2 linked regions of the Mytilus edulis genome follow. The protein of the gene in region 1 binds, or shares a complex with, the protein of each later gene. Links are inferred from orthologs where the notes say so. Each region holds a gene or a part of one and is shown on either strand. Other genes may lie near its edges. The genes, in order: WD repeat-containing and planar cell polarity effector protein fritz homolog and protein fuzzy homolog.

Region 1 (3,931 bases):
ATTTAGCCTTAGTTTGGCTGAAATTGATACAGCAGTTTCAAAGGAGAAGATTTTTTAAAGTAAGTCAACATGATGAACAAATTGTGAAAAAAAGTCTTTAAAGGGCAATAACTCCTTAAGGGGTCAATTGACAATTTCCGTCAAATTGACTTAATTGAAGATCTTACTTTGCTGAACATTATTGCTGTTTACAGTTTATTTCTATCTATAATTATATTCAAGATAATAAACAAAAACAGCAAAATTTCCTTAAAATTATCAATTCAGGGGCAGCAACCCAACAACAGGTTGTCTGATTCATCTGAAAATTTCAGGGCAGATAGATCTTGACCTGATAAACAATTTTACCCACGTCAGATTTGCTCTAAATGCTTTGGTTTTTGAGTTATAAGCCAAAAACTGCATTTGACCCCTATGTTCTATTTTTAGCAATGGCGACTATGTTTGTTGATAGATCATAACTTCGGATACAATTTACAAACTAGATAACCTAAGGAACATTCAGTTAAAGTTTGGAAGTATTTGGCCCAGTAGTTTCAGAGGAGAAGATTTTTGTAAAAGATTACTAAGATTTACAAAAATGGTTAAAAATTGACTATAAAGGGCAATAACTCCTAAAGGGGTCAACTGACCATTTCCGTCATGTTGACTTATTTGTAAATCTTACTTTGCTGAACATTATTGCTGTTACAGTTTATCTCTATCTATAATAATATTCAAGATAATAACCAAAAACAGCAAAATTTCTTTAAAATTACCAATTCAGGGGCAGTAACCCAACAACAGGTTGTCTGATTCATCTGAAAATTTCAGGGCAGATAGATCTTGACCTGATAAACAATATTACCCCATGTCAGATTTGCTCTAAATGCTTTGGTTTTTGAGTTATAAGCCAAAAACTGCATTTGACCCCTATGTTCTATTTTTAGCCATGGCGACCATGTTTGTTGATAGATCACAACTTCGGATACAATTTACAAACTAGATACCCTAAGGAACATTCAGTTAAAGTTTGGAAGTATTTGGCCCAGTAGTTTCAGAGGAGAAGATTTTTGTAAAAGATTACTAAGATTTACGAAAAATGGTTAAAAATTGACTATAAAGGGCAATAACTCCTAAAGGGGTCAACTGACCATTTCCGTCATGTTGACTTATTTGTAAATCTTACTTTGCTGAACATTATTCCTATTTACAGTTTATCTCTATCTATAATAATATTCAAGATAATAACCAAAAACAGCAAAATTTCCTTAAAATTACCAATTCAGGGGCAGCAACCCAACAACGGGTTGTCTGATTCATCTGAAAATTTCAGGGCAGATAGATCTTGACCTGATAAACAATATTACCCCTGTCAGATTTGCTCTAAATGCTTTGGTTTTTGAGTTATAAGCCAAAAACTGCATTTGACCCCTATGTTCTATTTTTAGCAATGGCGACCATGTTTGTTGATAGATCAAAACTTCGGATACAATTTATAAATAAGATACCCTAAGGAACATTCAGTTAAAGTTTGAAAGTATTTGGCCCAGTAGTTTCAGAGGAGAAGATTCTTGAAATAGTTTACAACGACAGACGACGACAGACGACGGACGACGACGGACACCAAGTGATGGCATAAGCTCACTTGTCCCGCTAAAAAGGTCTGTATAACTGTGATTTTCAAATATATATAAAAGTCCAAAGCCACAAATTTTACAGCAAAAATTAGCATAGCGGAATGAAACTTTAACTTGATCTGTAACTCATCATGGATAACTCACGTACCAAATATCTGAAAGCATTTAGAACATGTAGAAAAAAAGTTTGTATAACCGTGATTTTCAACAATTTATCAAAGTCCATAGCCTGTAGTTTCGGCAAAAATTAGCCGAGCAAAACAAAACTTGAACTTGATCTGTAACTCATCTTGGTTAACTTACATGCCAAAAATCATCCCAATATCTGAAAGCATTAAGAAAAAAAGTCTCTATAACTGTGATTTTCAACATTTTTTCAAAGTCCAAAGCCTGTAATTTTTTTTGAAAAATTAGCAGAGCGGAACAAAACTTACACTTGATCTGTAACTCATCATGGTTAACTCACATATCACCATGTGATAATTAATAAATATGAGTTAGTAATTGTATTGTAACTGTATGTAAAAAATTGTTTGTATCTATGTATCTATGCAAATCAATATTCTTTTTCCTTATTCATGTATGCTCTGTATGCCCCTTGTGGGCCCTAAATTGGAAATAAAATATGTTCTGTTCTGTTCAGTTCTGTATCAAAAATCAGCTCAATATCTGAAGGCGTTTAGAAAAAAAACTCTGTATAACTGTGATTTTCACCAACTTATCAAAGTCCAAAGCCCGTAATTTTTTTTGAAAAATTAGTGGAGTGGAACGAAACTTAAACTTGATCTGTACCTCATCATGGTTAACTTACATATCGAAATTCAGCCCAATATCTGAAGGCGTTTAGAAAAAAACTCTGTATATAATGGTTTGTTGTGTAATGACAGAATTACGTAATTTCAGAATTACGGTCAAGGGTAAAACTATATGGCACTGACAACTTCTTTGCGGGGCCATAAAAATAATATATCAACATTCAATAATGTGAAGTGTCAAAACTAAAATTGTGGATTTGATCGTTCTCATAGGAAAAAATAATGTGGCTAATTAAATTTGCATTTATCCCTCGTTGAGTTTTATAACTTCCAGATTTTTTTGGAGGAATTTGAGAGTCGAATCTGTGTTTTAGGGGTTCGTATGGATAGTAAACCCGGCAATTGTAACAAGCCCCTGTGGTCTGAGACTCACCAATCAAAAGACAAAATGTTATCCAAAAAAGTCAATGAATTTTTCATAGGTTCATGAACAGCATAAATATAAGTCCTGTATCCGTTTATATCCGACTGTCTTAATTTTTAAAAATTATACCATAAGTCGAACCTAAATGTAATTTTGCATTCTTTCAAATTCTTTCAACTTTGTTTTCCTTTGCTACAAGGGAGATAACCTTGAGATTATGCTAAAACATAGTTAACTTAAACCGGGACCGATCGGAATGTTACAGACATATTATATTGTTTGTAACATATTGGTCCGATTTGTTGTCATTCATTCCACATAGTCATAGCGTTTGTCGGACTTATATTCAGGGGTGTAGAGGGCTTTCCTTATTTTGGAAAATATCAGTATTTCTGCCAGAATGTTTTTAAGCATAAAATACTCCAAAAGTGAACCATCTGCAAATCTACGGATATGAACGTAGATAACTTATAATATATCACCACCTAATCACTGAGACTACTATAACAGTATCGGATTTAATTATTTTTCTTTATAAATAGATTAAAAACAAAATTGAATGAGCGGGAAAAGGAAAATAATTTTTATTTTTCAAATTTTGTTATCACTAATGCCAGAGACATATAAAATCAACTTTTAAAGACTCTGAATCAGCAGTAAATTCATTTAATAATATACTATATGAAAATGCTTTGAAGTCTGCAAAACTAGTAAAGAAAGTCCCAGTCAGAAATAAAAATCAAAATAGGTCAAAAAGACGACCTTGGTACTCTGAATCTTGCCGTGAACTTGGCGTTACAGTAAAAAATTATGCAAAGTTAGTTAATAAACATCCCTATAATTCTGAATACAGACATAAATTTTATTCTTTCAGATCTAGACTTAGACGTCTATGTAAATATGAAGAAAATAAATACAAAAAAGATATATTTTCAGAACTTTATACATGTGAGAAAGACCCAAAGATGTTTTGGAACATCTTGAATAAATTAAGTATCAAAAAAGTAATAACAAAGAAAATGAATCTTTACCACAAGAAGATTTCATCCAGTTTTATAAAAAATTGAATAACTGTGACATAAATCACAATAGTTTTCACTCTAAAATTATTAAAGATTTTGACTCTCTAAAAG
Region 2 (3,931 bases), on another chromosome or scaffold:
AAAACTTTGATGCTGCCTTTTTGATGCGAGCTGTTTCACTTGATGTTCTTTACTATTGACTTCAGTTACTCTTCTTATAACCTAATGAAATAGACAGAGGAATTAATTTAACAATCATATCATTTGAACCAAATTTAAATTGAATTGAATTTTCATTTTTTTTGTTTGAAAAAAAATTATGTTTTGTAGCTTTAAAATTAAATGACATATTTCCTAATCATGCTAATAATGATTTTCATACATTTTATTTACAATAATATAATAAAGCTATAAGATCTATAAAATTAGTTTCTTAAAATTGCTGTATTTTGGATATTTTACAGCCTCCAGTAGAACAGAGAAGATATAGGTTCTAAACGGTGTTTAACAAGGACTTCAGTTGTTTAAAAGTATTTCAAATAGTTCATGTTTATAAACAATAATATAAAACTTGTGTCAGGGATCCCAACTTGTTAATAATCTAAACAAAAATTGTTATATCACTTTTCTTTTAATCTTTTAAAGCTAAATAAATCATTCAATCTAAAAGTCATATAAGTTTGACATTGAGTGCCTTGATGTGACATTAGAAATTGTCAACTGAATATTTCTTTTCAATCTTTTATTAGAATTCTGTATCAAAATTAAATCAATCATGAGAATAACCAATGTGTTTTTAAACGGATGTAATACATTTTATGGTTAAGAATTGGTCCATTTGGAAGTTTTCCATGAATAAATTAAGGAGAATGACTAATGAAGAAACACAAAGAAACATTAAGTCACATCTTTGTCATTCTGAACCAATATCATAGCTAAGCAATACACAAATAACTTTCTGAATGTCTAATTACTTTTGTCAATAAATGGTTATCTTCGTGAAAATTCAATTGACTTTGAAAATACTTTGAACCAAAGTAAGATGAAGTTGTTAAATTAAATTTTGTTGGCACTGCTTTTGTGAAGGACCTATTAATTGAGAGAAAATCGATCGATACTTCGGCTTAAATTTCTTTGTTATTGAACTGAGTAAATATAGTATACACACTGATGACTAATAATAAACGGCGCGTAATTTCTTTGTCTCTCAATAAAAGTATAATATTGTTTATCAACACAAACTGTCATTAATAAAAACTACTGTAATTGCTGTATAAACAAATTACATAATGTGTGAAAACATTTGTAACAGCTTGGGTCAAAAGATTACAAGTCGTGTGGCCAATACAGTGAAAACAATGAGTAACGGCAGATTGGCGTTGCGGGCACGTGCTCCAATAAACAAGCAATAATGAAGATCCTGATCGATAAAATTCCTTTACATTACCAGGGACGAACCTAACATGAAACATGACTTACCTGTCATTAAGTGTGCCTGTTGTCATCAAGTAAAACTTACCATATACTGAACCGAAAATTTGACAGATGCTGTTTACAGCTTCTTCATCGCCATGCTATTTACCCATCATTCTAAAGTTGTGGTAAGTAAGCGCATGCGTATGTTAAACTTACATCGAAATGGCGACCTACATTTTATGTTTGACAACAGGAGGAGGAGTTCCTCTATTTACCCGAATGTCAGCCAGTTTAAAGCCTGTAGGTTATAAAAATACATATAATTTTGAATTATTGACTATGCATTCAGTCAATATAAACTGTAGCGTTAGTGTTTGAGTGTTTTTGCCGGGCTTGTGTCCAGCATAGACACGAGGCCGACGAGGTTGGGCCTTTGCGTTTGATTTCGGTGGTTTCGACTAAAATCAGTTTATATAAAACACAGTTTGTAGAAACAACGTCTCGGAACATTCAACCATCTTCTTAATATTTATTTTTGATGAAAACCGAACACGAATTGATTTTTTGACAAAAAGTTGTGATTTATATTTGAAGTTCCCACTGAAAAAAAAATATGAAAATGTGCTCACATGTGGTGAAAGGGAGCTTACTCTTCTTTCTTCTTTTGTTACAGAAAACCATCAACGTACTGATGTTTACTTTCCGGCGCATGCCTGGTAAATGTTTTTTAATAAATTTATGTTGATAATTTTTCTCAAAATATAAATTAACAAAATATTTCTTATTCAAAGTTGTTTTTGGTCATATATTTTCGTATTTTCAATTTTTACAATTTTTCTTTGTTTTTAATTTATACAATTTTTTTATTTAGTTTTTAAATATTACATTTTTTATTTTTAGTTTTTTGGTATAAGATAAAAACAAGAGTATCTGTTTATTTCAGATGAGGGTAAGTATCAAGGAGCACGTCGTGTGTGAGTGCATCCTTGAAGTTTTCTGTAGTACTGTTTTTGGTAATTTCAGGTGTTAGTTTGTTCCAGTCTTTGATGGTTTGACAGAAGAAAGAAAATTTATAGCTGTCTTTATTGCAATGAATTTGTCTGTAGGATTCTTTATTGGTGGATCTTGTAGTAGACTGACTCTGTTGTAATACATTTTGCGATGGAATGGCTATCTTTTCATTTACAATTTTGTGGAACATTATAAGCCTTGTTCGTAGTCGGCGTTCTTGTAATGTTTGCCATTTCATGGTATCTAGCATCTCAGACACACTGCTGGTGTTGTGATGTCTATTGCACACATACCTTGCTGCCCGTCTTTGTACTTTTTCCAGTGATTTTATATTTTCGTTTGTAAATGGGTCCCATACAGTACAACAGTATTCCAACTTTGGTCTTATGAGTGTTTGGTATGCTCTTTCTTTAATTGTTTGCGATTGGACTTTAAGGTTTCTTCTGATGAAACCTAAGGATTTATTTGCTTTTGCAGCAGTTTGTTGGATGTGGGTGTTCCATTTTAGGTCTGCTGAGATGGTGATGCCTAAGTATTTTGCATGTTTTACAGGTTCTAAGATGTGTCCATACATGTTATAATAAAAGTGGATGGGATTTCTTTTTGTTGTTATATTCATGATGTTACACTTGTCTGGATGGAAAGACATAAGCCAATCTTTTTCCCATTGTATGGCAGCTTCTACATGTAGGTCTTCTTGAAGCTTGAGGCAGTCGTTTTGAGTTTTAATTTGTCGGTAGATTATACTGTCATCTGCAAAGAGTCTGATTTTGCTATGTTGGATGTAATCTGGGAGGTCATTTATGTAAATTAAGAATAGTATCGGTCCTAGCACTGTACCCTGTGGGACTCCTGATGAGACTGGTATTTTTGAAGATGACATGTTTTCTAAAAGTACTGTTTGTGTTCTGTTTGAAAGAAAGGAGTCTACCCAGTTAATGATTTGATCTGATATGCCAAAGTATTTCATTTTGTATAGTAATCTTTTGTGTGGTACCTTGTCGAAAGCTTTAGCAAAATCCATGATAATAAGATCTGTTTGTATGTTCTTGTCGTTGTTTTGGAATAATTCATGTATCAGTGAGATGATTTGTGATTCACATGATCGTTTTGCCCTAAATCCATGTTGTAATTCATATAGAGTGTTGTTTGTTTCTAAGTGGTTCATCATGCTGCTTGCAAAGATATGTTCGAGTAGTTTACAAGCTATGCATGTTAAGGATATAGGCCTATAGTTGCCTGTGTTGTGTTTATCCCCTTTTTTGAATACAGGTGTGACATTTGCGTGGTTCCAGTCAGATGGTACTTTGCCTGTTTGTAGTGATCTTGTAAATATTAAAGTGAGGATATCTGTACATATTTCGATGTTTTGTTTTAGTACTTTGCCTGCGATGGTGTCAGGACCAGTTGCTTTATTCGGGTTTATGTTTTTGATTAGTTTGTAAACACCATCCCTAGATATTCTAATGGGTTCCATTATAGGGTGTTTACTAGGACCTTTGTCTGGAATGTTAGTGTTTGCCTCAGATGTAAAAGCAGACTGAAATTGTTTGTTAAGTATATTTGCTTTCTCAGATGGACTTGAGTGCAGTGTACCTTCACTTCGTAGAGGAGCTATGCCAGTGTTTTCGTTTTTCTGGCTTTT

What was found.
Region 2: the proteins of WD repeat-containing and planar cell polarity effector protein fritz homolog (region 1) and protein fuzzy homolog are in contact, whole or in part, in a cryo-EM structure (PDB 7Q3D), measured with the Homo sapiens proteins. The link is inferred for Mytilus edulis from reciprocal best matches to the Homo sapiens genes WDPCP and FUZ. Residues at the interface, in NP_056994.3 of Homo sapiens: Arg55, Ile57, Asn75, Lys78, Leu82, Glu418, Asp419, Arg420, Leu421; in NP_079405.2 of Homo sapiens: His293, Glu372, Glu373, Pro374, Arg379, Gln397, Pro399, Thr400, His401, Gly402, Ser405, Leu406.

Annotation. Positions count from the first base shown.
Region 1 is NC_092346.1:82,339,298-82,343,228, reverse strand, and holds the start of WD repeat-containing and planar cell polarity effector protein fritz homolog, read right to left. Parts: upstream 3,027-3,931; 5' UTR 2,928-3,026; exon of another isoform or gene 2,808-2,927; intron 1-2,807. UniProt on the Homo sapiens protein: Probable effector of the planar cell polarity signaling pathway which regulates the septin cytoskeleton in both ciliogenesis and collective cell movements.
Region 2 is NC_092350.1:12,397,962-12,401,892, forward strand, and holds the start of protein fuzzy homolog, read left to right. Parts: upstream 1-1,467; 5' UTR 1,468-1,497; coding exon 1,498-1,575; intron 1,576-3,931. UniProt on the Homo sapiens protein: Probable planar cell polarity effector involved in cilium biogenesis. May regulate protein and membrane transport to the cilium.